4 linked regions of the Stegostoma tigrinum genome follow. The protein of the gene in region 1 binds, or shares a complex with, the protein of each later gene. Links are inferred from orthologs where the notes say so. Each region holds a gene or a part of one and is shown on either strand. Other genes may lie near its edges.

Region 1 (7,921 bases):
CCCGCTCTCACCCCCCCTGCCCCCTCCTCTCCCCCTCGCTCCCCGCCCTCACCCCCCCTGCCCCCTCCTCTCCCCCTCGCTCCCGCCCTCACCCCCCCTGCCCCCTCCTCTCCCCCACGCTCCCGCCCTCACCCCCCCTGCCCCCTCCTCTCCCCCTCGCTCCCGCCCTCACCCCCCCCTGCCCCCTCCTCTCCCCCTCGCTCCCGCCCTCACCCCCACTGCCCCCTCCTCTCCCCCTCGCTCCCGCCCTCACCCCCCCTGCCCCCTCCTCTCCCCCTCGCTCCCGCCCTCACCCCCCCTGCCCCCTCCTCTCCCCCTCGCTCCCGCCCTCACCCCCCCTGCCCCCTCCTCTCCCCCACGCTCCCGCCCTCACCCCCCCTGCCCCCTCCTCTCCCCCTCGCTCCCGCCCTCATCCCCCCTGCCCCCTCCTCTCCCCCTCGCTCCCGCCCTCATCCCCCCTGCCCCCTCCTCTCCCCCTCGCTCCCGCCCTCATCCCCCCTGCCCCCTCGTCTCCGCCTCGCTCCCGCCCTCATTCCCCTGCCCCCTCCTCTCCCCCTCGCTCCCGCTCTCATCCCCCCTGCCCCCTCCTCTCCCCCTCGCTCCCGCCCTCACCCCACCTGCCCCCTCCTCTCCCCCTCGCTCCCGCCCTCATCCCCCCTGCCCCCTCCTCTCCCCCTCGCTCCCGCCCTCATCCCCCCTGCCCCCTCCTCTCCCCCTCGCTCCCGCTCTCATCCCCCCTGCCCCCTCCTCTCCCCCTCGCTCCCGCTCTCATCCCCCCTGCCCCCTCCTCTCCCCCTCGCTCCCGCTCTCATCCCCCCTGCCCCCTCCTCTCCCCCTCGCTCCCGCTCTCATCCCCCCTGCCCCCTCCTCTCCCCCTCGCTCCCGCTCTCATCCCCCCTGCCCCCTCCTCTCCCCCTCGCCCCCGCTCTCATCCCCCCTGCCCCCTCCTCTCCACCTCTCATCCCCCCTGCCCCCCTCCTCTCCCCCGCTCTCACCCCCCCTGCCCCCTCCTCTCCCCCTCGCTCCCGCCCTCACCCCCCCTGCCCCCTCCTCTCCCCCTCGCTCCCGCCCTCACCCCCCCTGCCCCCTCCTCTCCCCCTCGCTCCCGCCCTCACCCCCCCTGCCCCCTCCTCTCCCCCACGCTCCCGCCCTCACCCCCCCTGCCCCCTCCTCTCCCCCTCGCTCCCGCCCTCACCCCCCCTGCCCCCTCCTCTCCCCCTCGCTCCCGCCCTCACCCCCACTGCCCCCTCCTCTCCCCCTCGCTCCCGCCCTCACCCCCCCTGCCCCCTCCTCTCCCCCTCGCTCCCGCCCTCACCCCCCCTGCCCCCTCCTCTCCCCCTCGCTCCCGCCCTCACCCCCCCTGCCCCCTCCTCTCCCCCACGCTCCCGCCCTCACCCCCCCTGCCCCCTCCTCTCCCCCTCGCTCCCGCCCTCATCCCCCCTGCCCCCTCCTCTCCCCCTCGCTCCCGCCCTCATCCCCCCTGCCCCCTCCTCTCCCCCTCGCTCCCGCCCTCATCCCCCCTGCCCCCTCGTCTCCGCCTCGCTCCCGCCCTCATTCCCCTGCCCCCTCCTCTCCCCCTCGCTCCCGCTCTCATCCCCCCTGCCCCCTCCTCTCCCCCTCGCTCCCGCCCTCACCCCACCTGCCCCCTCCTCTCCCCCTCGCTCCCGCCCTCATCCCCCCTGCCCCCTCCTCTCCCCCTCGCTCCCGCCCTCATCCCCCCTGCCCCCTCCTCTCCCCCTCGCTCCCGCTCTCATCCCCCCTGCCCCCTCCTCTCCCCCTCGCTCCCGCTCTCATCCCCCCTGCCCCCTCCTCTCCCCCTCGCTCCCGCTCTCATCCCCCCTGCCCCCTCCTCTCCCCCTCGCTCCCGCTCTCATCCCCCCTGCCCCCTCCTCTCCCCCTCGCCCCCGCTCTCATCCCCCCTGCCCCCTCCTCTCCACCTCTCATCCCTCCTGCCCCCTCCTCTCCCCCTCTCATCCCTCCTGCCCCCTCCTCTCCCCCTCGCATCCCCCCTGCCCCCTCCTCTCCCCTCGCATCCCCCCTGCCCCCTCCTCTCCCCCTCGCATCCCCCCTGCCCCCTCCTCTCCCCCTCGCTCCCGCTCTCATCCCCCCTGCCCCCTCCTCGCCCACTCTCATCCCCCCTGCCCCCTCCTCTCCCGCTCTCTTCCCCCCTGCCCCGTCCTCTCCCGCTGTCATCCCCCCTGCCCCCTCCTCTCCCGCTCTCATCCCCCCTGCCCCCTCCTCTCCCCCTCGCATCCCCCCTCCCCCCTCCTCTCCCCCTCGCATCCCCCCTCCTCTCCCCCTCGCATCCCCCCTCCCCCCTCCTCTCCCCCTCGCATCCCCCCTCCCCCCTCCTCTCCCCCTCGCATCCCCCCTCCCCCCTCCTCTCCCCCTCGCATCCCCCCTCCTCTCCCCCTCGCATCCCCCCTCCTCTCCCCCTCCCCCCTCCTCTCCCGCTCTCATCCCCCCTGCCCCCTCCTCTCCCCCTCGCATCCCCCCTGCCCCCTCCTCTCCCGCTCTCATCCCCCCTGCCCCCTCCTCTCCCCCTCGCATCCCCCCTGCCCCCTCCTCTCCCGCTCTCATCCCCCCTGCCCCGTGCCCCCTCCTCTCCCCCTCTCCCCCGCTCTCATCCCCCCTCCCCCTCCTCTCCCCCTCTCTCATCCCCCCTCCCCCTCCTCTCCCCCCCTCCCCCTCCTCTCCCCCTCCTCTCCCCCTCTCCCCCTCCTCTCCCCCTCTCCCCCGCTCTCATCCCCCCTGCCCCCCTCACCACAATTTCTCTCCCCTCCCCCTCCCCTTCTATATTTAATGTTATTTCTGACTCTATAATTATTTCTCTCTCACTCTCGATTTCCCCTGAATTTACTTTGAAGATTATCTCCCTATATTGACTATTTATGTGTTTAATGTTATTTCTCTCTCACGTCTCTCGAAGTTGGGAATCTAAAGCCGACTCCATTCTTCACATCCGGGAACTACCCAAGGGTTACCCGGAAATAGCGTCACCAGTGGGCGGTACACCCGCGTTTACCCGCCTGTTCACCCAGTGTTGACCCGCCACTGCAATAAAACCCCGCCTCCCCACCTTCATTCCCCCTCCTTCCCCTCCATCCTGGCATCCTTTTCCCTCCCCTCGGACCCCAAGGACTAGCCCCGCCCCCTGCACTAACACCGCCCCCTACCTTAACCCCGCCCCTGCAGTAGAACCCCTCCTATTTTCCCTGCCCCCTTCTCTACGCCACCCCCACAATTACCCTGCCCCTCTGTGATGCCCTTCGGACTAGCCCCGCCCCCTGCAATAACACCGCCCCCTTCCTTGACTCCTCATCTGCAGTAGAACCGCTCGTATTATCCCTGCCCCCTACACTAACCCCGCCCCCCACGTTAACTCCGCCCCTGCAGTCATACCCCTTTGACTGACCCTGCCCCCTTAACACACCCTCCCCCCTGTACGAACGCCGCACTTTGCCTAAACCACGCCCCCTACACTAACCCCGCCCCAATACTGACCACGCCCTCTACACTAACCCCACCCCTACACTAGCCCCGCCCCCTGATCGCCCGGTCATTGGACTGGGCGGTGTGCACGACCTGCTGATTGCAGGGACAGAAGGAGTTCCGGAGAGTCAGGGTAGAATGTAGTGGCCAACGCTCACCAGAAGGGATTGGGGACGGTGGAAATTTGGGAGTATATAGCTGTACAGTACATTGCTGAGACTATTTTTGGAATACTGCGTACAATTCTGGCCACCCTAATTTAAGAAGGATATTGTTAAACTTGACAGCGTGCAGAAAAGATTTCAAACGGTGTTGGTACTGTTGGAGGGTTTGAGCTACAGGGAGAGGCTGAATGGGCTGGAGGTTTTTCCCTGGAGTGCTGGGGACTGACACCTTACACAAGTTTATAAAAGCATGAAGAATATGGATAAGAGTGAATAGTCAAGGTCTTTTTCCTAGGGAAAGTGGATTCCTAAACTAGAGAACATTGGTTTAAGTGAGAGGGGAAAGATTTAAAAGTACCTGAAGAATGTGTTTTTCACACAAACAGTGGTGTGTGTATGGAATGAGATGCCAGATAAAGTGGTGGAGGTGTGTAGAATTACAATATTTAAAAGTCAAGATAATAAAATGTGAGGCTGGATGAACACAGCAGGCCAAGCAGCATCTCAGGAGCACAAAAGCTGACGTTTCGGGCCTAGACCCTTCATCAGAGAGGGGGATGGGGAGAGGGAACTGGAATAAATAGGGAGAGAGGGGGAGGCGGACCGAAGATGGAGAGTAAAGAAGATAGGTGGAGAGAGTGTAGGTGGGGAGGTAGGGAGGGGATAGGTCAGTCCAGGGAAGACGGACAGGTCAAGGGAGTCACGGGTGGTCTCTTGTTCGCTCCACACTGCCCTCCAACCCCACCACATCCGGCACCTTCCCCTGCAACCGCAAGAAATGCTACACTTGCCCCCACACTTCCTCCCTCACCCCTATCCCAGGCCTCAAGATGACATTCCACATTAAGCAGAGGTTCACCTGCACATCTGCCAATGTGGTATACTGCATCCACTGTACCCGGTGCGGCTTCCTCTACATTGGGGAAACCAAGCGGAGGCTTTGGAGACCGCTTTGCAGAACACCTCCGCTCAGTTCGCAAGAAACAACTGCACCTCCCAGTCGCAAACCATTTCCACTCCCCCTCCCATTCTCTAGATGGCATGTCCATCATGGGCCTCCTGCACTGCCACAATGATGCCACCCGAAGGTTGCAGGAACAGCAACTCATATTCCGCCTGGGAACCCTGCAGCCTAATGGTATCAATGTGGACTTCACCAGTTTCAAAATCTCCCCTTCCCCTACTGCATCCCTAAACCAGCCCAGTTCGTCCCCTCCCCCCACTGCACCAGACAACCAGCCCAGCTCTTCCCCCCCCACCCACTGCATCCCAAAACCAGTCCAACCTGTCTCTGCCTCCCTAACCGGTTCTTCCTCTCACCCATCCCTTCCTCCCACCCCAAGCCGCACCCCCAGCTACCTACTAACCTCATCCCACCTCCTTGACCTGTCCGTCTTCCCTGGACTGACCTATCCCCTCCCTACCTCCCCACCTATACTCTCTCCACCTATCTTCTTTACTCTCCATCTTCGGTCCGCCTCCCCCTCTCTCCCTATTTATTCCAGTTCCCTCTCCCCATCCCCCTCTCTGATGAAGGGTCTAGGCCCGAAACGTCAGCTTTTGTGCTCCTGAGATGCTGCTTGGCCTGCTGTGTTCATCCAGCCTCACATTTTATTATCTTGGATTCTCCAGCATCTGCAGTTCCCATTATCTCTAATATTTAAAAGCCATCTGTTTAGGTATATGAATAGGAAGGGTTTAGAGGGATATAGACCAAATGCTGGCAAATGGAACCAGTTCAGATTGGGATGTCTGGTTGACCTGGATGAGTGAGAGTCTTTTTCCGACGATGATGACTTCAGCTTGGACGAGGGGGCATAGCTACAAATTGAGGGGTGATAGATTTAAGACAGATGTCAGAGGCAAGTTCTTTACTCAGAGAGTGGTAAGGGCATGGAACACCCTGCCTGCCAATGTAGTTAACTCAGCCACATTAGGGGTATTTAAACGGTACTTGGATAAGCATATGGATAATGATGGGGTAGTGTTGGGGGAAGGGCTTAGATTGGTTCACAGGCCAGCGCAACATCGAGGGCTGAAGGGCCTGTTCTGCGCTGTATTGTTCTATGTTCTATGTTCTAGTTGGATGGAAGGATCTGCTTCTGTGATGTATAACTCTATGACTTCACAAATCTTAGAATTCTTTGAGGAGGCAATAGGCACGTTAGACAAAGGAGAGCCAGTGGATGTGATCTATTTAAATTTCCAGAAGCTTACAGAATACTGAGAACCTTTTAATAGAGAGGATGTTCCCGCTAGTGGGAGAGGCTAGGACCGACAGTCTCAGAGTGAAGGAAAGACCCTTTAGAACTAAGATGAAGTGGAATTCCTTCAGCCAGAGGGTGGTGAATCTGTGGAACTCATTGCTGCAGAGGGTTGTGGAGGCTACGTCATTGTGTGTATTTAAGACAGAAATTGATAGTTCTTGATTGATAAGGAGATCAAAGGTTGCAGGGAAAAGGCAGGAGACTTGAGTTGAGAAACATATCAGACATGAATGGTGAAGCAGGTCTGATGCTGAAATAGTCTAATTCTTATCCTATATGTTATAGTCTTAAGGCTTTTAACTAGGTGCCACACAGGAAGTTCCTAAATAGCACAAGAACCCTTGGTGTTAAGGGCAAAGTATGGCATGGATAGAGGATTGGCTGACTGGTATAAAGCAGAGAATCAGGTTGAAAGGATAGTTGCCAAAATGGCAGCCAGTGACTACAGTCAGATCTATTGTAACACAATAGTTGCATTCCTGCGCAACATTGCATTACAGAAAATCACACTGTAGGAATAATGGGCCCAATGGGAAAAGCGGTGTTAGGGGTAGACCGTCAAAAAGTATCACTCAAAAGCATAATACAAAAGAAAGCGCAGTTTAAATAAATGTTTAATTCACATCTAATAATGAAATAAAGATAAATTTAATGCCTAATCTTGAAAAATCGTCAAGATGATTTTATGGGGGAGGAGTTTTTGAGGTTGCTCTATTGTTAATGCAGAGGCTGAGCGTCATCATCATCATCATCATCACCTTCAGGTGCAGGTATAATTTGTCTGATCTCTCCTCATTACTTAAACCTGAAGTTCAGGTATCATTTTTGTAAACCTATGTTGTACTCCCTTCATGGCCAATGTATCCTTCCCAAAGCCTGGTGCCCAGACCCACACTCAGTACTCCCAAGTGCAGTCTAACCAGGGTTCGATGTAACTGCAGCATAGCTTCTATATCCTTGTACTCCATCCATCTAGATATAAAAGCCAACATTCATTAGATATTTGAATATTTTCTGTACTTGTTTGTGGTATTTTATAGATGTATGCATCAGAAGCCCCAAGCGTCTTTGAACATCTACTATATTTAACTCCATACCATCTAGAAAGCACCCAGATCTATCATTTTTCGGTCTAAAGTAGGTAACTTCACACTTATTTACATTGAACTTTGTTAGCCAGCTTTGCCCTTTCTCCCAGTTGATACCCCATTGTGATGCTATTGCCAAAATCTACACTGTCTAAAATGCCATTTAACTGTGTCATCAGCTTTCTATTTATGACTTTATATGCCATTATCAAAGAAATTAATAAATAATGTGAAGAATTGTGGGAATGACACTGCTGATTCTATGATGACCTTTCTACAGCATGGGGCTAGATACAGACAAAAGCTTGCTCTACAACGTCCCCATCAAACGCTCCCAAGACAAGTATAGCTTGGTGTCAGGTACAGTGTAAAACCTTTTACTCTCTTAAACAGAAAGCAAACCCTCTCTATCAAACATTCCCAAAACAAGGTCAGCATGGGTGTAGATACAGAGTAAAACTCTTTCTACTCTTAAAAATAGAAAGTAAACCTCTCACTATATTGTCCCCATCAAACTTACTTAGGACAGAGACAGCATGAGGTTAGGTACAGTGTAAATCTCCCTCTACTCTTTCATGTTGTCCCAGTTTCATTTTAGAATAATGATACTTTGTTGGTTGGATTTCTGGTATGTCTGTGGCTGTTTTAAATTGTTGTTTATTTTACTCCATTTGACTCTCCTAACCAATGAGAAGCATGTTTAAAGGGCTTTCCAAGATTACAACATTACATATTGTAATCAACCCCTATCGACAGATAACTCTTGCAGTGAACCTGTCCCACAGATAATTAGCTGGAGACTTTCACACTGCTCATCAATTGTCCTTATAATTTGAATTGGAAGTAGTTCCTAGCTGTAACTGTCCTGAGGGATATTAAAATTGGTAAATAATTCTCTCTCATAATGAGG
Region 2 (7,304 bases), on another chromosome or scaffold:
GGGTCTCAACCCAAAACGTCAGCTTTCCTGCTCCTGTGATGCTGTATTCCTCTACCACCACATGTTATCACAGAAAAATAGATACAAGTTCAGCTGAGTGACAGCAAAGAGGGTTTAACGGTGAACAGTTCTATTGTGTCTTGGAAAGTGGCTCATGGTGGGAATTCCCAGGGTCAGTCCCCAACTACTGCTTTTGACACATTTAGAGTTGTTGACTTCGCTGCCTTGAGCAAAATTTCAAATACTGCGTATGATTCAAACCTTGCAAACACCAAATTGTGGAGGATAATGATGGAATTTATGAGAAAGCAAACAGTGAAATAGCTTCAAGAAGCCAAGTTGCCCACAATCAGCTCCTAATGTGTATGAAAGAAAGCTTTCTTACACAAGAAGTGGTTAGGATCTGGGAGACACAGTATAGTGGAGACAGATTCAATCACGTTTTTCATAGGACGACCAGATGTGCACTTGAAGGGGCAAGGTTTACAGTGCTATGGGGAAAAGATGGTGGAGTCCCACAGACTAATATCTTCTTCCAGGGAGAAGGTATAGACACAAATGACCGAATGGACTCTGTACTATAACCTTTCTAATGATTAAGAATAGATAAAATAGGTAGATTGGTCATGAAGCTTTTAAAGTTTGCTCCATTATTTGTCGAGATCATGGCTGATTCACTACACCAACACCATTTTCCTGCAAATTACATATCATCTGCAACATCTTTAATATTTAGAAATCTATCAATTTGTGCATTTAATCATTTTATTCACTTATTCTGTGGGCATTGTTCGTTGGGACAGCATTCATTGCCCATCCCTCCATTCTCAGTGACCTGTCCCTTAGTCGGAGATACTTTCCCCTGGATTACACCCTAGAGTAGAGAGAAACTTTTTTTACATCTATTCTGTTCATCCTTATAAAAAGGATTTTCTAAGTTTCACCTTTCATTCTTCTAAACTCCACAGCATACTCAGTCTCCTCAAACTCTCCTCACAGGACAATCTCAACATCTTAGCAATCTATCCTGTGACTCTCCACTGCACTCCCCCTGTGTGCATCCTTCCTTCAATAAGGAGAGAAAAACTGTACATGAACAGTTAAGGTAAAGTCTCATCATAGCTCTATACAATTAAAGCAAGGCAGGCATCTTGACTCCTGTAATCTAATAATCTTGTTATAAAAGGTGAACATACTATTATTGTCATAATTACTTGCTGTACCTGCTTGAGATCAGTAAATTATGAACAAGGATATGAATAAGTTTTCCTCGGGCTTCACCACTTCAAGCCTGTTCCGAACTTGGTGGAATTCCTACTTTTTGTTGGGTTTCTCAACAAGGCCAGTTATGACTCCATGGATAGTGTCCTACCTTCTGTCAGAAGAATGTGCTTCCAGTCCCTCTCCACATCATTGAATATAAAATCAGTCAATGACCCAAGAGCAGTAATCAGAGAGTGATGCATTCAGTAACACCACCTTTTAGGTGAAATGTTAAACCAAGGACCAAGCACAATAAAAAAAGTTTTCTGGCCATAATGAAATTCTCGTGAGGAATCTTAGCATACACAAATCTGGTCTCATTTCTTATCTTGCAATGGTGACTACCTTGGAGGAAATGCTTCATTTGTGTCACAGAAATACAAAAACTGCTTAGTCATAGACAGTTGACAGGACAGAAAAAGGCCATCCGGCCCATCCTGTTTGTGCTAGCCAATCACCACCTGGCCGAACAATATATTCTAGCATTAGGCAATCTTTCTTTAGTTTCACTGAAACAAGTAAATCACACCACATCCTGGTTTTGGGAACTGTAGATGTCCAAGACAAGAATTTGAAACTCTTGTTCAGCAGAATTAGAGTATAATAAGTGAGTGACATCAGCTCTGCAAGGCAACAATGAGCTGATTTGAGATAATGGGAATGGGAACTACAGATGCTGGAGAATCCAAGATTACAAAGTGTGGAGCTGGATGAACACAGCAGGCCAAGCAGCATCTCAGGAGCACAAAAGCTGACGTTTCAGGCCTAGACCCTTCTTCAGAGAGGGGGATGGGGAGACGGAACTGGAATAAATAGGGAGAGAGGGGGAGGCAGACCGAAGATGGAGAAAAGAAGATAGGTGGAGAGGAGAGTATAGGTGGGGAAGTAAGGAAGGGATAGGTCAGTCCAGGGAATACAGACAAGTCAAGGAGGCGGGATGAGGTTAGTAAGTACAAAATGGAGGTGCGGCTTGAGGTGGGAGGGATAGGTGAGAGGAAGAACAGGTTAGAGAGGCGGGGACAAGCTGGGCTGGCTTTGGGATGCACTGGGGGGGGAGCGGAATAACTGGGCTGGTTTTGGGATGCGGTGGGGGGAGGGGATATTTTGAAGCTGGTGAAGTCCACATTGATACCATTGGGCTGCAGGGTTCCCAAGCGGAATATGAGTTGCTGTTCCTGCAACCTTCGGGTAGCATCATTGTGGCACTGCAGGAGGCCGATGATGGGCATGTCGTCAAGAGAATGGGAGGGGGAGTTAAAATCATTTTAACTGGTGTGTGGTTAACCCCACACACCAACCCCTCCAATCCAGGATAATGGCAAAGGGGTGGCGGGGGGGTTAACCCCGCACACCAACCCTCCAATCCAGGATAATGGCAAAGGGGTGGCGGGGGGGTTAACCCCGCACACCAACCCTCCAATCCAGGATAATGCAGGGGGAGGGGGGATTAACCCCACACACCACCACACCCCCCAGGCCAAAAGGAGGGGTCAGGCTGCACCACACCAGCCCTGAAGGGACTCAATGAGTTTCCAGGTGATTTTGCCGGGTGTTTTAAGGAGAAGGCGGACGCGGGGATTATACTGAAGGGTGATCCTCACCTGTTCACTGCTGTCGCCCTCACTGCTATAACAACAGCCCATGGTGGGAACCAGAGGAGCGCAGGCCGCGGGCTCCCTATTTACACCATCACATGATCGGGCCTAGCAACCATTGCGTCACATCCGACCCGAACTGTCAATCACCCGGACGAGCGCCCAACTGCCGACGTCATCTCCGCCGCAGACTGTCAATCATCGCTAGCCCCTCAATTCTCAACCGTTTTGGTCTGTCGATCATAATGGGAACCGCCCCTCTATGACATCAGATCCGGTTGGTCTGTCAATCATCCTGTGCCATTTTCTCGTAAATTGATCCTCAGTTGGGGTCAGAGTTCAAGCCTAGTTGCCTATTCGGCCCATTGTGTCTGTGCTATCTCTCCCCATGAGTGATTCCTGCAGCTTCTTCCTGTTCAGATAATGATCCCATTCCCATGTGAAAACCTCTGGATGCTGATTGATTGTTTGTTACGTGTGCTGAATTACAGTGAAAAGCTTTGTTTACCAGTGGTACAGGCAGATCATGGTAAGCAAGGATGTACATACAGATCAAAAAGACTTGGACAGAGGCATAGGGGTTACACAAGGCTTCAGTGCGAAAAGCGGCCCTCCACCACTACCCTCTGTCACTTACCTTCAGGACAATTTTGTTTCCAAATGGCTAGTTCTCCCTGGATTCTATGTGATCTGAAGATCTTGATCAAATCTCTCAACCTTCTCTTCGTTGTAGACAGTTCCAGCAGTTTTTCATCAGTTGATCCTTTTTTTTATCCACTCCCCTCATGAGGACAGTCAAGAATCAGCCACGTTGCTGTGGGTTTGGAGTCACATGTTAGCCAGACTAGGTGAGGATGGCAGTTTCCTTCCCTAAAGGACATGAGGGAACCAGATTGGTTTTCCCCAACAATCAACATCATTCGACTGTAAGAGGGTTCTCTAGCTATCCAAACAAACTCATAAAATTCAGACCTGCTCCTGCTTGGTCACATCTCAGCACTTTGTGCTTTAGACACTGTTCGCTAACTCACACAGGGACATGGACAGTTACTGATTTCTCAGGATTGTTAGCTTTGCAAAATGCCCATGTGGAAAAATGCCAAGATCCCATTATAGTGAAAATCCAGCCATCTTTTTTTCCTGTTCATTAACTGATCCTCTATCCATGAGAATATGTCATTCCCAATACCATGCGCTCTTATTTTGTAAAGTTACGTAGAACATTACTGCACAGTACAGGCCCTTCGGCCCTCAATGTTGTGCCGACCTGTCATACTGATCTGAAGCCCATCTAACCTACACTATTCCATGTACGTCCATATGCTTGTCCAGTGACGACTTAAATGTACCTAAAGTTGGTGAATCTACTACCATTGCAGGCAAAGCGTTCCATTCCCTTACTACTCTCTGAGTAAAAAAACTACCTCTGACATCTGTCCTATATCTTTCACCCCTCAATTTAAAGCTATGCCCCCTCGTGCTCGCCATCACCATCCAAGGAAAAAGGCTCTCCCTATCCACCCTATCTAACCCTCTGATTATTTTATATGTCTCAATTAAGTCACCTCTCAACCTTCTTCTCTCTAATGAAAACAGCCTCAAGTCCCTCAGCCTTTCCTCGTAAGACCTTCCCTCCATACCAGGCAACATCCTAGTAAATCTCCTCTGCACCCTTTCCAAAGCTTCCACATCCTTCCTATAATGCGGTGACCAGAACTGTACACAATATTCCAAGTACAGCCGCACCAGAGTTTTGTACAGCTGCAGCATAAGCTCTTGGTTCCAGAACTCATTTCTTGCAGTTGCTTCTTGGGTGGACAGTCAAAATAACAAGTTGTTGTAAATGACAGCTTGTGGTGGTCTCCAAAGGCCTGTTCAAGTTCTGGATGTGAGTTTGCTCGCTGAGCTGGAATGTTAGTTTTCAGACGTTTCGTCACCATTCTAGGTAACATCATCAGTGAGCCTCCGACAAAGGCTTCGTCGGAGGCTCACCGATGATGTTACCTAGAATGGTGACGAAACGTCTGAAAACGAACCTTCCAGCTCAGCGAGCAAACTCATATCCAGAAACTCAACCTGAGCTACAAATCTTCTCAAAACTCACCTGTTCAAGTATCACTTTTTTTAATTGCTGTTTAAAATTAATTTGTTGATTGAAAACTTCATAATCTATCAATGTTGCCAAGACAGTGATGAGGCTACGTCTCGACTCAGGCAGACACAGGATCACAGAATTGTTATTGGCATGGAAGGAGGCCATTCAGCCCATCGTGCCTGCACCATTAAATGAACAATTAATAAATCTGGAATCTTGACTAGTGATGGTGTTCATGGAACTATTATCAATGGTCATAAAATTCCAGTTGGTTCACGAATGTCCTTTCAAGATGTGGTCTGCCTTTCCCAGTTTGGCCTATGTGTGGCTCCAGCAACATGATTAAGTGGTGGGTGCATGTCAGTTTAAGGAGTTATAGAATCAGACAGTACAGGACCTTCGGCTCTTCAAGTCTATACTGCCAAAGGTCACACATTTATGACAGAGATGAGGAGGAGAGAGAGGTTTGCAGATTGGGCAGGTGTACAAGGTAATGAGAGGCATAGATAGATTCGGTAGCCAGAGACTTTTGCACAGAGCAGGATTGACTGCCACGAGGGGTCATAGTTTTAAGGTATTAGGAGGAAGGTGTAGAGGAGACGTCAGAGGGAGGTTCTTCACCCAGAGAGTTGTGAGCGCATGGAATAGTTTACCAGTGGTAGTCGTGGAAGCAGAGTCATTAGTGACATTTAAGCGACTGCTGGACATGCACATGGACAGCAGTGAATTGAGGGGAATGTAGGTTAGGTTATTTTATTTTGGGATTAGGATTATTCCATGGCACAACATGGTGGGCCGAAGAGCCTGTACTGTGCTGTACTTTTCTATGTTCTATGTTCTATAAGTGACAGATAGAATTTTTCTTTGCTCTACACAGGATGTAAGTGTTGTTGGTCAGTCCACAGCATTTCCTGTTTCCACACTGAAGGGATTCTATGATTTATGATAAGATCATAAGATGTAGGAGCAGAAATAGGCCATTCAGTCCATTGGATTTGCTGTACCATTCACTGAGATTGTGGCTGATCTGATAATCCTCAAATCCACATTCTCGCGCTTCCCCATAACCCTCAAATCTCTTACTGATTAAAAATCTGTCTATCTCAGCCTTGAACGTACTGAATGACCCAGCCTCAACAACCCTCTGCAAGAAAGTATTCCACAAATTCACTACCCTCAGAGAGAAGAAATATCAACTCTCATTTTCTCTTTCTCTCATCTGATGAATGTTTTTAACATTGTTTCTTGTTGCTGCATTTAACCTGCATCTGACCTCGGGTGAAATCTTTGAGGGTTCTGAATGATGTGGACTCAGACCCCTAGGTACCAGGGTAACTCACAAACCAGCAACCACCCTGCGACAGCTACTGACGAACATAAAGGACCCCGTACTGACAACCAATAAAACTAACATAACATACAAAAAACCATGACTGTGAAAAGCATTACATTGGCTAAACTGGAAGAAAACTGATATTAAGGAGATATGAACACCAACTAGCCACCAAGAGACACGACCTATTCTCACTTGTCTCATACTTCACAGACAAAGAAGAAGACAAATCTGACTGGGACAACACATCCATATTAGAGAGAGTAGGAACTGCAGATACTGGAGAATCTGAGATAACAAGGCGTAGAGCTGGATGAATACAGCAGGCCAAGCAGCATCAGAGGAGCAGGAAGGCTGATGTTTCGGGCCTAGAGCCTTCATCAGAGAGGGGGGGATGGGGTGAGGGTTCTAGAATAAATAGGGAGAGAGGGGGAGGCGGACCGAAGATGGAGAGAAAAGAAGATAGGTGGAGAGAGTGTAGGTGGGGAGGTAGGGAGGGGATAGGTCAGTCCAGGGAAGACGGACAGGTCAAGGAGATGGGATGAGGTTAGTAGGTAGATGGGGGTGCGGCTTGGGGTGGGAGGAAGGGATGGGTGAGAGGAAGAACAGGTTAGGGAGGCAGAGACAGGTTGGACTGGTTTTGGGATGCAGTGGGTGGAGGGGAAGAGCTGGGCTGGTTGTGTGGTGCAGTGGGGGGAGGGGACGAACTGGGCTGGTTTAGGGATGCAGTGGGGGAAGGGGAGATTTTGAAACTGGTGAAGTCCACATTGATACCATTAGGCTGCAGGGTTCCCAGGCGGAATATGAGTTGCTGTTCCTGCAACCTTCGGGTGGCATCATTGTGGCACTGCAGGAGGCCCATGATGGACATGTCATCTAAAGAATGGGAGGGGGAGTGGAAATGGTTTGCGACTGGGAGGTGCAGTAGTTTGTTGCGAACTGAGCGGAGGTGTTCTGCAAAGCGGTCTCCAAGCCTCCGCTTGGTTTCCCCAATGTAGAGGAAGCCACACTGGGTACA
Region 3 (7,095 bases), on another chromosome or scaffold:
GGGGCGGGGGGGTGTCTTGGAGGGGAACTCGCAGGGGGCTGGGGTTCCCCTGTACCTGCTGCCCGTTGCCCCCATCCCCAGGGGGTAGGGGTCCCGGGTTTGGAAGGTGCTGACTGGGGGGAGTCGCTGTGAATGGTACACACTGCTGCGACTGAGCATCGGCTGGGGCGGGGGGGGAGTGGGGGCTTGTGGACACGGTGCCAATCCAGGGAGGGCGAGGGGGGCTGCTTTGCCCCCAGATGGGGTCAAGCTTCTCCAGTGTTTGTCAGAGCTGCCCCCACCCAGGGCAAGTGGCGGGGGGGGGGGGGGTGCATTCCCTCACACTCCTGCCTTGTTAATGGTGGGACAGGGGAGTTGGGACGGGAGTCACTGGCTGCAGGATTCCCAGCCTCTGACCTGCTTTGGTAGCCCCCGGTATCGATATGGGGCAATGGTATCGATATCTGAGCAATGGTAACCCCCAGTGTGGTGATACTGAGGCAGGGAGTGGGAAAAGAGACTAGAGTGATGTTAACACCACTGAATGCCGGAGGGGGGGGCACAATGGTTAGATTCTCCCTCAGTGGTGACCCCTGGATGTTGACAGTAGGGTATTCAGCGATGGTGGTTACAATGACTGACTTATATTGGAGGCTGGGAAAGAGAGATTTTCAAACCAGGGAGGGAACCGGGGCGGGGGGGTGGGGGGTATGGAGGAAAGGGCAGGAAATTGGGAGATGGGGATGACCAAGATCAGCCATCGAAGGGTGGATGGACTCGATGGGCTGAGCGGCGCACAACTGCTCCTACATCACATCGTCTCATCGCTACAAAGCTGCTAGTGAACGCAACATGGACCGAGGACCACACAGAGGAGCCCTCACAAGCAAACGCTAACAACCCCCACCCAGCTCCATCGCTCCCGACGCCCCGGCCCACCGCACTGCCCCCTCCGCCCACCCGCCGACGCTCCCCCCCCCACCAACCCCCCGGCCCACCTCACCCCCAGCCACCTCCGCCCAAACACCCTTCCAGCCCCGCAACCCACCCACCATCTGCACAACCCCGTCACCTACCCACCCCCAGCCCGCTCACCTTCGCCTGCAGCATCCCGAATCCCACGGTCTCCTTTGCGTACATGCACAGCAGCAGGTTGGCCACACGGGTGATCGCCACCCTGCCTTCCTGAAACGGAAAGAGAGAGACACACGGGGGGTCAGAGAGGGCAAGACACGCACGCACACAGGGGTGGGGTACGCAGGGCTGCCCACACCCTCGAACAAGGGGGATTTAGCATGGACGTACAGAGGGTGAACAGGCTCAAAGTGGGCAATGCCCAAAAGCACGCATGGAACCCCCCTCCCTGAGAAAGGAGGTGGTCGGTTTTGCACCCCCCGCCGCCCCAATCCTCGCGGCTCTCACTTGACCCAGTCTGTTGCAAGCCAGCCCCTTGCCGGACGGGATATTCAGCTACGGACGGATTCGTGGCGCAGGACCAGATCCCCCACAAGCGATGCCACTCTTCTTGTGGGGGGGGGGGGGGGGGGGGGGAAGAGTGACCATGTCAGTGCTGAAAGGGAACAGTGAGCCTCCCCTCACCACCCGCCCCCAGCAGCCCCACACCATGCAGTCCATGAGGATGAATCGTAGCTTGTCCTCGTTGAAGGCCTGGTGCCCGTTCTTGGCGTAGGCAGCCCAGATGTTGCTGGCGATCGCTGCAGTCACCCGGGCATCTGTGTCTCCGTACCCCGAATACGCGAGGAGGGAGCCCTCGTTGTTCAACAACCTGTGGGGGGGGGGGGGGGGGTCATGGTTACTGTTAGCCGGTACATACCCCTCCCCAAATGTCACCCCTGCACAGACATCCAACCAGCACCCCCCCCCCCCCCCCCGGAATCCCACCCCGCTCCCCTCTTCACCACCCCCCCCATCCGTCTGTATACCAACACCCGCTCACAGGCTCCAATCTCCTCCCTAAACACCACCTCCCCACCCACAGAGGGTTTCACCCCCACCATAACACCACCCACTCCTCCGCTCCTGCCCCCAACTCACAGAAGCCTTCTTCCAAATGCCTCCCCCCCCACCACGGGGTCTCCAGCCCCCGCCACCCCCCACTCACTGCCCCCACGGGGTCTCCAGCCCCCGCCACCCCCCACTCACTGCCCCCACGGGGTCTCCAGCCCCCGTCACCCCCCACTCACTGCCCCCACGGGGTCTCCAGCCCCCGCCACCCCCCACTCACTGCCCCCCACGGGGTCTCCAGCCCCCGCCCCCACTCCCCCCACTCACTGCCCCCACGGGGTCTCCAGCCCCCGCCACCCCCCACTCACTGCCCCCACGGGGTCTCCAGCCCCCGCCCCCACTCCCACCACACACTGCCCCCACGGGGTCTCCAGCCCCCGCCCCCACTCCCCCCACTCACTGCCCCCACGGGGTCTCCAGCCCCCGCCCCCACTCCCACCACACACTGCCCCCACGGGGTCTCCAGCCCCCGCCCCCACTCCCACCACACACTGCCCCCACGGGGTCTCCAGCCCCCGCCCCCACTCCCACCACACACTGCCCCCACGGGGTCTCCAGCCCCCGCCCCCACTCCCCCCACTCACTGCCCCCACGGGGTCTCCAGCCCCCACCACCCCCCACTCACTGCCCCCACGGGGTCTCCAGCCCCCGTCACCCCCCCACTCACTGCCCCCACGGGGTCTCCAGCCCCCCGTCACCCCCCACTCACTGCCCCCACGGGGTCTCCAGCCCCCGCCCCCACTCCCACCACACACTGCCCCCACGGGGTCTCCAGCCCCCACCCTCCATAACACACTGGGGCCACGCCTCCCAAGGTCTCTCCCTGACTCCCCCAGGCCCTCCCTCCGCCCTCGCCGCAGCCCCCTCACTCACAGGGTGCTCTGGACCCCCGCGGTGTTGGCCTGGCTCAGGACCTGGGTCAGGGCTTTGGGCCTCAACATCTTCGGGAGTCGCCGGAAGTCCACAGTGACCGGAAACAGCCGTGCACTCTGGGATCTGTAGTTCCAAATCCCGCCGCCTACAGCCCGTGATCTCACTCTCACGTGGTCCTGCCCCCCCAACCCCTTCCGCCGGAACATGCATCTCTGCGCATATTTTAACCACGACCGCCTCCTTTGGGAGTTTTAATCGGTGAGCGTTATTTTCCGGAATATAAGGCAATCATCTGCGGCGAAGGTTAAAAAAAAATTCTCCCGCCGCCATCTTGGTAAGGAGAACGCGGGCGCTATGCCGTCGCCATATTTGTAAGGGAGATCTCGTCGAAGCTGCCCAAGGAGACGCCTTGTCGCCGCCATATTGGCAATGGGGTACCCATCCAGACGTTCCCATTGCTTCGGAAATAGCTGAAGCCACCCTGTTCACCATATTTGTAAAGGGGAAACAATCGGCTAAGACGGAAGTGCGGCTTTGTCACCATCTTGGTAAAGGAGAATTGTCTAATCAGGTTTTATTGTGCTGTAATGGTAGTTTTCCTACCCCTGGACAGGGAGGCCCGGGCTCAGGTCCCACCTGCTCGGAAAAAACAATACATTAACCATCAGCCTTTAAACAGACAACAAAACAGAACGGACACCACGGTGCTAACATTTACAGCTGCAACAGATGACAGAAGCTTGGCAATGTCCCCTGAATTTCTGTAGCGCCATGCATAACCTGCAGAATTGTTAAAGCACAAGAGGATGCCATTAAGCCCATTCCATTTCTGAATGAGTGCTCCCCCTGCGAGCTTCTACTTATTGCCATGTATGTTCTTCCATTTCAGATGGTGATCCTACTCCCACTTTCTGATTACCAATAGTCTTCGATTCCGTGCCCACTAGTCCAATCTCTCTGCGAATGGGAACAATTTCTCCCTCTCCGTTCCATTCCTGACCCCTAATGGTTTCCAAAGTTTTGGTAAAATCTCCTCCCTGACTTCTCTTCTGCAAGAAAACAGTCCTAGCATCTCTGATCTATTCACAACACTGAAATCCATCATCCCTGGAACCAATCCTGCAAATCCTTGCCTGTATGCTCTGGTGCCTTCTTAAAATGTGATGCCCACAACTGGACATTATTTCAGCTAAAGCTAACTTAGCATTCCACGCAATTTTAACATGATTTGCTTTGGAACCAAATTAAGAGGAAATGACAGGAATAGGCCATTCAACTGCTCAAGCCTGCTCTGCTATTCAATGGGATCAAGGTTAATCTAACATTCCTCACATCCACATTGCTGTATTTTCCCTGTAAGTTTTGATTTCCTGACTGATCAAGAAATCCAATCTATCTGAGCCTTAAATATACAGGAGGAGTCTGGCCCCTCTCTGCAGCAAAGAGTTCCAAAGACTCTCAAACACCTCCTCTCAGAAAAGAAATTCCTCCTCACTTCAGTCTTAAACTTATTCTAAGACTATGACCTAAGGTCCTAGACTCTCCCATGAGGAGAGTCCCCGGTGAGCCCCTTCGGAGTCCTATATGTTTCAATGAGATTATTTCTCATTCTTCTAAACTCCACTTAGTAGAGTCCCAACCTGTTTAATCCTTGCTCAAAAGACAATCCCTCCATACCTTGGATCACCTCAAACTTCTCTAAACTTCTTCCAATGAAACTATCTTTATCTAAATAAGGGGACTTAAACTGCTAACAGCACTCCAGATGTGATTTCCCCAGTGCCTAGCATAGTTGCAAATAAGACTTCTCTACTATGATACTCCAACCCTCTTGAAATAAGGGCCAACATCTCACTAGCCCTTCCTGACTACATGTGGTTAGCTTGCTATGTTTCCTGCAGTTTGTTGCAGCTTTCTGCAGCTTCTCTCCGGTTGAGTAATATTGTGTTCTTTTGTTCTCTCTTCCAAAATGAACAACTTCATATTTTCACTTGGTATAATCTATTTGCCAAATTTTTATCAATATTTCTCTGTAAACTGTAAAGAGTCACAGAGTTGTACAGCACAGAAAGAGACCCTTCAGTCCAACTTATCCACGCCAACATAATCCAGCCCCAGATTATAAAATGTGAGGCTGGATGAACACAGCAAGCCAAGCAGCATCTCAGGAGCACAAAAGCTGACGTTTCGGGCCTAGACCCTTTATCAGAGAGGGGGATGGGGTGAGGGTTCTGGAATAAATAGGGAGAGAGGGGGAGGCGGACCGAAGATGGAGAGTAAAGAAGATAGGTGGAGAGGAGAGTATAGGTGGGGAGGTAGGGAGGGGATAGGTCAGTCCAGGGAAGACGGACAGGTCAAGGAGGTGGGATGAGGTTAGTAGGTAGATGGGGGTGCGGCTAGGGGTGGGAGGAAGGGATGGGTGAGAGGAAGAACAGGTTAGGGAGGCAGAGACAGGTTGGACTGGTTTTGGGATGCAGTGGGTGGAGGGTAAGAGCTGGGCTGGTTGTGTAGTGCAGTGGGGGGAGGGGATGAACTGGGCTGGTTTAGGGATGCGGTGGGGGAAGGGGAAATTTTGAAGCTGGTGAAGTCGAGACATTAACCGCCTCTACCTCTCCACCCCCTCACCCACTCCAACCTCTCCCCTGCAGAACGGACAGCCCTCCGCTCCCTCCGCTCCAAACCCAACCTCACCATCAAACCCGCAGACAAGGGTAGCGCAGTGGTAGTATGGCGCACTGACCTCTACATCGCCGAGGCCACACGCCAACTCTCCGACACCACCTCCTACCGCCCCCTCGATCATGACCCCACACCCGAGCACCAAACCATCATCTCCAACACCATTCATGACCTCATCACCTCAGGGGACCTCCCACCCACAGCCTCCAACCTCATCGTTCCCCAACCCCGCACGGCCCGTTTCTATCTCCTTCCCAAAATCCACAAACCTGCCTGCCCTGGTCGACCCATCGTCTCCGCCTGCTCCTGCCCCACCGAACTCATCTCCACCTATCTGGACTCCATTTTCTCCCATTGGTCCAGGAACTCCCTACCTATGTCCGTGACACCACCCACGCCCTCCACCTCCTCCAGGACTTCCAATTCCCTGGCCCCCAACACCTCATTTTCACCATGGACGTCCAGTCCCTATACACCTGCATTCCGCATGCAGATGGCCTCAAGGCCCTCCGCTTCTTCCTGTCTCGCAGGCCCAACCAGTCCCCCTCCACAGACACCCTCATCTGCCTAGCTAAACTCGTCCTCACCCTCAACAACTTCTCTTTCGACTCCTCCCACTTCCTACAGACAAAGGGGGTGGCCATGGGCACCCGCATGGGCCCCAGCTATGCCTGCCTCTTTGTAGGTTACGTGGAACAGTCCCTCTTCCGCACCTACACAGGCCCCAAACCCCACCTCTTCCTCCGGTACATTGATGACTGTATCGGCGCCGCCTCTTGCTCCCCAGAGGAGCTCGATCAGTTCATCCACTTCACCAACACCTTCCACCCCAACCTCAAGTTCACCTGGGCCATCTCCAGCACATCCCTCACCTTCCTGGATCTCTCAGTCTCCATCTCAGGCAACCAGCTTGTAACTGATGTCCATTTCAAGCCACCGACTCCCACAGCTAACTAGAATACACCTCCTCCCACCCACCCTCCTGCAAAAATTCCATTCCCTATTCCCAATTCCTCCGCCTCCGCCGCATCTGCTCCCACGATGAAGCATTCCACTCCCGCACATCCCAGATGTCCAAGTTCTTCAAGGACCACAACTTTCCCCCCACAGTGATCGAGAACGCCCTTGACCACGTCTCCCATATTTCCCGCAACACATCTCTCACACCCCGCCCCCGCCACAACCGCCCAAAGAGGATCCCCCTCGTTCTCACACACCACCCCACCAACCTCCGGATACAACGCATCATCCTCCAACACTTCCGCCATTTACAATCCGACCCCACCACCCAAGACAATTTTCCATCCCCACACCTGTCTGCTTTCCGGAGAGACCACTCTCTCCGTGACTCCCTTGTTCGCTCCACACTGCCCTCCAACCCCACCACACCCGGCACCGTCCCCTGCAACTGCAGGAAATGCTACACTTGCCCCCACACCTCCTCCCTCACCCCCATCCCAGGCCCCAAGATGACTTTCCACATTAAGCAGAGGTTCACCAGCACATCTGCCAATGTGGTATACTGTATCCACTGTACCT
Region 4 (7,697 bases), on another chromosome or scaffold:
TGGGTGTCCTTGTGCACCTGTTGCTGAATGTAAGCATGCAGGTGCAGCAGGTGGTAAAGAAGTCGAACGGTGTGTTGGCCTTCAATGCGAGTGGTTTCGAGTTCAGGAGCAGGGATGTATTGTTGCAGTTATACAGGGCCTTGGTGAGGCCGCACCCATAGTAATGTGTGCAGTTTTGGTCTCCTTTTTTTGAGGAAGGATGCTCTTGCTCTCAGGAGTGCAGGAAAGGTTTACCAGGCTGATTCCAGGGATGGCTGGACTGATGTACAAGGAGAGACTGACTAGGTTAGAGATAATGGGAACTGCAGATGCTGGAGAATCCAAGATAACAAAGTGTGAAGCTGGATGAACACAGCAGGCCAAGCAGCATCTCAGGAGCACAAAAGCTGACGTTTCGGGCCTAGACCATTGACTAGGTTAGAATTGTTTTTGCTGGAGCTCAGAAAATTAGGGGGGAATCTCATAGAGACTTATAAAATCCTAACAGGACTAGACAGTGTAGATGCATGGGGGGGGTATGTTCCCGATGGTGAATGTGTCCAGAACCAGGGGTCACATCTGATGATTCGGGCTAGATGCTTTAGAATGGAGATGAGGAGATGTTTCTTCACCCAACAGTTCATGAGCTTTTGGAACTCGTTACTACAGGAAGTGGTTGATGCCAAAACATTGAATATATTCAAGACACAGCTAGATATAGGACTGGGAGTGAATGGGATCAAAGGTTACGGGGAGGACACAGGACTAAGCTATTGAGTTGGATGATCAGCCATAATTGTGATGAATGGTGGAGCAGACTAGAATGGGTGAATGGCCTCCTGCTCCTATCTTCTATGTTTCCATCAGTATGACATCATCTTTGTGTAATAGTCCAACATAATTATGTAAATTATGACTGACAAACTGATCAATTAATTTTTTTTTGCTGTTGATTGAAAGACATCAATTGCAGACAGTCAATCCTAAAGTCCACTTTTACATGAAGCTAATTTTTCAACTTTTCTCAAGGGGAAGTGGCATATTCTCTCTCGTGCTCTTTAGACATGACTGAAGTTTTGCTTTATATAACCCTTAATTTCCAACTGCTATCTTTATTTCCACTGCTTATCTGATTATGCAACAGTTAATTTGAAAAAAGCATAGATCTATCCTTTGTTTAAAAAGCTTACATCTGAAGCGGGCACCTTTGGCCTTCCAAATCTTGTCTGAGAATTTGGTAGACAATTTATTCTGTGGGCCCCTGTCTTCTGCAAATGCTGGCAATGCCTGGTGGCTGTTTTTTAAAAAATTCTATCCTGTGCTGTTTTTGGCGGTTGCTTGAGCTTTGTTTTCCTTGTCACAAAGCAAGTGCTCACTGTTCATGTGTGTTTTTTTTTTCCCCCTGTGGTCCTAATATAAATGTGATTCCTGTGCTGCTTCAAGTTTTGTCTGAGGTTTTCAAACTTATTACAACCTTGTTTATTTTTTAAATACCTGGCACTGCACATCATATCATGCTTTCTTGTGTTATTTTGAAGTAATATAGATTGAGTATTGTGGATTCAATGTACTTAAAGCTCAGAGGTTTATTAACCACTCAGTCCTTAACTTTCAGTTACGGATAACTACATTTGCAATCTCTTGCTAACATGCTTCATAGATGTGGCAGTTATGCATTTGGTTTACATACTGGACCTCCGTTGCATTTTTTTTGCCAGCTTGTAGCATTCAAAAAATAATCTTCCAAAAAAGAATTTTATTTGACTCTTAGTTAACTGTTTCTCACTCTTTATAGCAGCACTGTGTGGACATTTAGCACGGGACGAGAGAGCGGTAGAATTGGGCCAATGCTCTGCGTTCATTACTTATCATTTAACTGACCTCTTAACTGGTATAGCAAGGCACTTAATTATGTGTACCTGCTGCAAAAAAGCTTTTTTAAAAAAATAAATCTAAATCTAAAATAAATTTAATCTACTAAGACTGTCACATTTTGATAATTCCAAAAGTCTCAGAATGACACAATACTACTGGTAACTTTCATTTTTGTGTTTCATTTATTTGATGAAAATATATCAAAAGCCCTAATTGAGCAAAAAAACTGACCGTGGAGAATCTTGCTTTAACTTCTGCTTTGAGTATGGTATCCAGAAAATGAAGAAGGGTCGTGACTCAACGTCAGCTTTCCTTCTCCTCTGCTGCTTGGCCTGCTGTGTTCATCCAGCTTGACGTTTTGTTATCTCTGTTAAAACAGTTGCAAATGTGCAGAATTATAGGTCCTGATTTCCACTCAGTAGAAAGGTTCAAATGTTGAAATTCAAAATTCTTCCTTTTTTTATTTACTCGTTTGGATGAGGACATTGCTGGTTAGGCCAGCATTTATTGCCCATCCCTAACTGCCCAGAGAGCAGTTAAGAGGCAACCATATTGCTGTGGGTCTGAAGTCACACGTGGGCCAGACCAGATAAGAACAGCGGTTACCTTACTAAAGGATGGCAATGAACTAAATGGAATTATGGTCATTTTGAGTTTTCATTCCAGATTTCTAGTAATTTCAAATTCCGTTCTCTGCAATGGCAGGATTAGAACCCAAGTCCCCAGAATATTAGTTTGGTCCCTGGATTAATAGTCCAGTGATAGTATTACTAGTCCACTGGTTTCCCTGCATGGCCGTGTACCATATAATTGATTCATTTATTGTCGTCATATGTACCTGGATTCAGCAAAAAGTGTTTTGTGTGCTATATAGGCAGATTGCACCAAACAAAATGCATCAAGTTGGCAGAACAGAGTGCAGAATACACAGTGCTACAGCGACAGAGAGGGTGCAGAGGGAGAGAATTAACATTTGAAAATCAGAATAAGCAACTGTAGTTTGTGTAGACAAAGCTCACTTAAAAACATGTAACAGCCTAATAGTGTTACAAACATTATATGCAGCAGAATCATCATTAGGTCATACATAATATTAATGACAAGGCAACGGAGTTGGTCTACCAGAAGAAATCTGGTCGGAATGAATGATTAACTAGAGTTGGGCCACGCTAAGTTGAGGAATGTACTTTTCTTCTGGAACCAGAACAGCAGTGGAGCTCTCCTTAAGTCCTTTGGCCTCCCCCACCCTGATCTGATCTCTCTCCACACTTACACAATGCGAGTAAATTACCCCCACACCTGCTAACTGTCTGGCTCAAGACTTCTGTCGCCACATTCCTCCTGAGCAGCCACATAATGAATATGCTCGTGTGTCAGTGGGAATCTTGTCTATTTTAATAGGGCCCTGCTGTTAAGATTGATAAAGTCTACATATACCTCAATATTCAACGCTGTTGCATGTGTGTGCATCTTTCCCTTCCACCCTAACAATAAAAAAATCTTTTTGCTTGTTTCTAATTTAAAAATAATGCTTGACCTGTTTATTTTTCTAACTTTTTTCTTCAAGAGGATGTTCAAACTGCTTACACCATACATCTCAGTTGCTGGGAATTACTGTCTTTTGGGCTTGAATGAAATTGCATTTCGGAACTAGTTTCTCTTGCAGATGCAGGTACACCTGACATATTTCAGAGTTCATTTTAGGAAGCATCTTTATGGCTGAGAGAGTACCCGTGTGTTTAGGTCAGTTTCAAACCAGGGATGATGATGTGGTGCATACCAATTTCAACTTAGAGCAACTTAGAGAAGCCTTAGACGTTTTTAGATGCATCGTGCACTATAATAGGAGCAAACAAAACCCTACAGCAATTGCTGGAGAAATTCAGCAGGCCTGGAAGTATCAGTGGAGAAAAAGTAGAATTAACTCAATGGGCCCAGAGACCCCTTTTGATACAAAGCTGATGTGTCCTAGCCATCCATTATGGATTGAAACTATTTAAATTTATATTGGAAGTAAACATTGTCCATCAGATGCCATTCTTAAATTGGGTTTTTTGGACTGAACTTAAAATCTGCCCATTGGATGTTTGGTTTCTTGTATTTAGTATTTAAAAAAACGTAAACTGGTATGAGCTAAAAGTTTTTAAAATTGGCCAATACACCCCGTTACTAAACTTTAAGACAATCAAAAAAGTGTTTTAAGGCACTCAATGGGTCCGACTTGTACAACTTGTGAAAGCAATCGTGCATGCAGAATTAAGTTTTTAAACAAAAGGGGGGGGCGGAGTTAAAATTTTATTTTAAAAAATGGAAAGTCGACCCAGTAGACGCGATGAGTTACTGCATTGTAAATTCCTGATGTTAAATTTTCGAGTTGTCGCTGCAATTTTTCTCCTATGCCTGCCTTATTTGGTGATTTTAAAACTACTGGCTAGTGCAAAAAGCGGCACATAGCTCAACAATTACACTGTCCTCTCCGCCTTGTGGAACAAACATGTCCAAAAATTGTATCTGAATCTAACTGCATTTTGCGTGGTAGAGTGAAGAAAACTGCAGTTTTGTAATGCGTATATAAACCAGCGAGCCATTAATGGTATTAAGAAGTTTGCAGTATTTACTGCTAAGCGAGATCAAAACACCAATTCCTTGCAGTCACTGAACACACCCCTAAGAAAAACCAAAACATTGAAAAAAAATTCACTAAGCATGTGGTTACACGACGCGAAACAGCCAATAATTACATTCGGTACAGAGCAGGTCTGTCGACAGAGGGCCAATGAGAGAAACCGTTTGGAGTTTTCCTGAAGCGGCGGCACTAAGCCAATCTCAGTCATATGACAGTGAAGCTCGATGGGGTAGTGCGTTACACTCCGATTCTCTCACCTACAGGAAAAAAAATGCCACCGACTTTATTTCAGAAACTATTTAATAAGCGGAATGGCTTACTTTCCCCTATCAAAGGTTTGAAGGAAGACAGTTCCTTCAGGTAAGAACCGTGATCGAATGTGTTTTGAATGCTTCCTGTTAGGGAAGAATTACATCAAAGAGTATCGGTAGTTAAATTGATACAGTGAGTGAGTGAACGTGACGCTTCCAGATACATTGTAGCCAGATTACGGAAGTGTGTTCTCGCGCTGAATTGATGCATATTCTTTATGTTTCTTCCATGGTTTTGAGTTTCGTCCGTGTGCAGAGAGTAATCGTGGTTATTGTGAGACCTGCCTTACTAGGCGTCTGTTGTTCTTTACCTTTTTGAGGAGAACGCCTTTGGACATGTAGTTCCCTGTGGTTGGGTGGACCTACACGTGTATTCTCATCTTGTGACAATTATTGAGATAAAGACTTGGCTAAAAGTCAAAAAGTGAAGGAAAAAATGTCTTGAAGCTCGGATAGAAATAAATACGAGGAACACTGACGACGATTTGATGCCAGTTTTTTAAAAATCCTATCCTTACATTAAAATATTCAGTCTGTTTTCTCCACGGGTCGATGAGTTTCGGATATATAATCTACTCTATGATTGTTAATTTAAAACAAATGCATATTACAAATCATTTTGCTATCGAATACTTTTTAAAAAAAATCGCCCCCCAACGATGGATTAATTGGCACCCACGAGCAGATGGATCGAGATGTCTTACTGTTTATTTCCTCTTTTAAAGCTGTATCATACTGAAAATAGATAATTAATGGAATTGCATGGATTTACACCATAGTGCAAACAATGTAATAGGAACGGAACAGAATACAGTACTGACAAATACAATATGTTACAAACCTGATGTTTGTTTATGTTGTCTTGAAATGGAAATTAGTTATGTTTAAGGTGGAGTTTAACAGAAATGTGTGTATATGACACAATGTTTGCAGATGTAAAATCAAGTAGAATTTTGGACCTCACTTTCAGGTCCCAATCAACAAAAAGAAGCAGTCAAGAGTAAAGGGATGGGAATTAATGTAACTGCTAAATACTCCTAGTTATAAACATCACAATTGGCCTTCATGTTTTTCAGGGTGCAGTGGATTTTTACCCACTCATGCATATTTTCCAGTAATATACATGGATCTGTGTTCACTCATTTTCAAGAAAGTTAATATTTCAATCCAAACAGATAATTAATTTGTTTTTTTTAATTGTTATGATCCCAGCAGATGGTATTTTTGACCAAGTTAGGCCCCAGTGTGAAACCTGGCTAGATAGATGAAAAGTTTAACTTTTGTAGTTAATTAGTTGCTGAATACATTCACATGAGGCTGTCAATATTCTTTAACAAAAATGCTAACGGTCAAAGGACTGTTCTTTAAGAGAGATAACTGGTTGTAGTTTAACCTGAGGGTCACCATGCTTCAAGTGAGGAAAGAGATTGAGAAGGAGACTCTTTCATGGTGAACCCACACTTTTGGCATCATGAACCAGCCATCCAGCTAGCTGACCCATCAGCAATAACTTTCTGAAATAGTAGGAACTGCAGATGCTGGAGAATCTGAGGTAACAAATTGTAGAGCTGGATGAACACCACAGGCCAAGCAACATCAGAGGAGCCGGGAAGCTGATGTTTCGGGCCTAGACCCTTTAGAAACTTACTGTTGGCTTTCCTAAATATGTGCTATAGTTGCATACTAACCTTTTGTGATTCATGCATTAGAACGCCCAGATCTCTCTGCATCTGACAGCCTTCTTGCTCCCCTGATGCTGTTTGGCCTGATGCTAGAGAATCTCAGATTCTCTAGCATCTGCAGCTCCTTCTTCCTCTGAAACCATTTAGAGGATATGCTTTTCTAATTCTTCCTGCCAAAATGAACAATTTCACATTAGCCCTTGTATGATCCTTTACAGCCAAATGAGGTTTCTGTTTTCTTAGATTATGTAACTACTTTTTTTGCAGTCATTTAGTTCCATTTTACTTTTATGAAAAAGGCTGGCATCTTTGCCCAGTGAAAGGGACCATGGATGCTTTAAGACAAAAGCAAAATAATGTGGATGCTAGAAATTTGAAATTATCCACAGATACTGTTTAACCTAATAAGCAATTCTACCATTTTTGGTGGAAAGAGGAAGAGTTAACATTTTCACTTTTTTTTAAACAGTAGTAGTGAAAGACTGTGTCTTTTCATGGAAGGAATCTGCCATCATGCTCAAATGGGATTGCAGACCAAACAGTGGGGTTGACTCATAAATGCCTTCTGAAATGACCTGGCAATTAATGAATGGACTAATTAAGCTACAGCCTCACAAAAAGACATACTCCTAGAAGGATACCTTAACGATAATACCCTGGATACGGTCACCATCCCTGTATATGTCTATGTACTGTCATGTCAACAGGACTGACCTACCAGAAGTGATAGTACAGTGTTATTTAGTCAAGAGAGAATTATCTTGGGTGCTGAATCTGTGCTCCTTCATGCTGAGCACCAGTTAGAAGCCCTGATGGTGCAGAATGCATTGTGTGTGGATCAGTTCAGTGTCTGTTACCAAGTGGGTTTCTGTAGTACTGACCAAGTTGAGATTTTTTTTTGTTCAGCAGCATACTCTACGTTGGCGTTGGAGTATAAAAACAGATTGTCAGAGTTTGGAAAATTTTAAATGTCAGTCACGTGACACCAGGTTATTGTCCAACAGGTTTATTAGAAATCTCAGCTTTTGAAGTGCTGCTCCTTTGTCAGGTGAAGTGAAGTGAAGCGCAGCGCAGTCTTCTGAAAGCTTGAGATTTGAAATATACATGCTGGACTATAACCTAGTGTCTTGTGACTTATGACTTTGTCCACACCAGTCCAACATCGGCACCTCCATATCATGGAAAATTTTATATTGAGTAGTACAGCACATTATTTGTAAAGAA

Evidence for each region.
Region 2: lamtor5 (region 1) and lamtor1 share a complex: the UniProt entries of both Homo sapiens proteins name them as parts of the ragulator complex. The link is inferred for Stegostoma tigrinum from reciprocal best matches to the Homo sapiens genes LAMTOR5 and LAMTOR1.
Region 3: lamtor5 (region 1) and lamtor2 share a complex: the UniProt entries of both Homo sapiens proteins name them as parts of the ragulator complex. The link is inferred for Stegostoma tigrinum from reciprocal best matches to the Homo sapiens genes LAMTOR5 and LAMTOR2.
Region 4: lamtor5 (region 1) and fnip1 share a complex: the UniProt entries of both Homo sapiens proteins name them as parts of the lysosomal folliculin complex. The link is inferred for Stegostoma tigrinum from reciprocal best matches to the Homo sapiens genes LAMTOR5 and FNIP1.

What each region holds. Positions count from the first base shown.
Region 1 is NC_081374.1:828,276-836,196, forward strand, and holds the start of lamtor5 (ragulator complex protein LAMTOR5), read right to left. Parts: upstream 3,017-7,921; 5' UTR 2,954-3,016; coding exon 2,919-2,953; intron 1-2,918. UniProt on the Homo sapiens protein: As part of the Ragulator complex it is involved in amino acid sensing and activation of mTORC1, a signaling complex promoting cell growth in response to growth factors, energy levels, and amino acids.
Region 2 is NC_081359.1:110,907,907-110,915,210, reverse strand, and holds the start of lamtor1 (ragulator complex protein LAMTOR1), read right to left. Parts: upstream 3,001-7,304; 5' UTR 2,907-3,000; coding exon 2,865-2,906; intron 1-2,864. UniProt on the Homo sapiens protein: Key component of the Ragulator complex, a multiprotein complex involved in amino acid sensing and activation of mTORC1, a signaling complex promoting cell growth in response to growth factors, energy levels, and amino acids.
Region 3 is NC_081400.1:6,456,286-6,463,380, forward strand, and holds lamtor2 (ragulator complex protein LAMTOR2), read right to left. Parts: upstream 3,001-7,095; 5' UTR 2,946-3,000; coding exon 2,878-2,945; intron 1,766-2,877; coding exon 1,603-1,765; intron 1,165-1,602; coding exon 1,075-1,164; intron 475-1,074; coding exon 367-474; downstream 1-366. UniProt on the Homo sapiens protein: As part of the Ragulator complex it is involved in amino acid sensing and activation of mTORC1, a signaling complex promoting cell growth in response to growth factors, energy levels, and amino acids.
Region 4 is NC_081366.1:27,651,918-27,659,614, forward strand, and holds the start of fnip1 (folliculin-interacting protein 1), read left to right. Parts: upstream 1-4,685; 5' UTR 4,686-4,688; coding exon 4,689-4,840; intron 4,841-7,697. UniProt on the Homo sapiens protein: Binding partner of the GTPase-activating protein FLCN: involved in the cellular response to amino acid availability by regulating the non-canonical mTORC1 signaling cascade controlling the MiT/TFE factors TFEB and TFE3.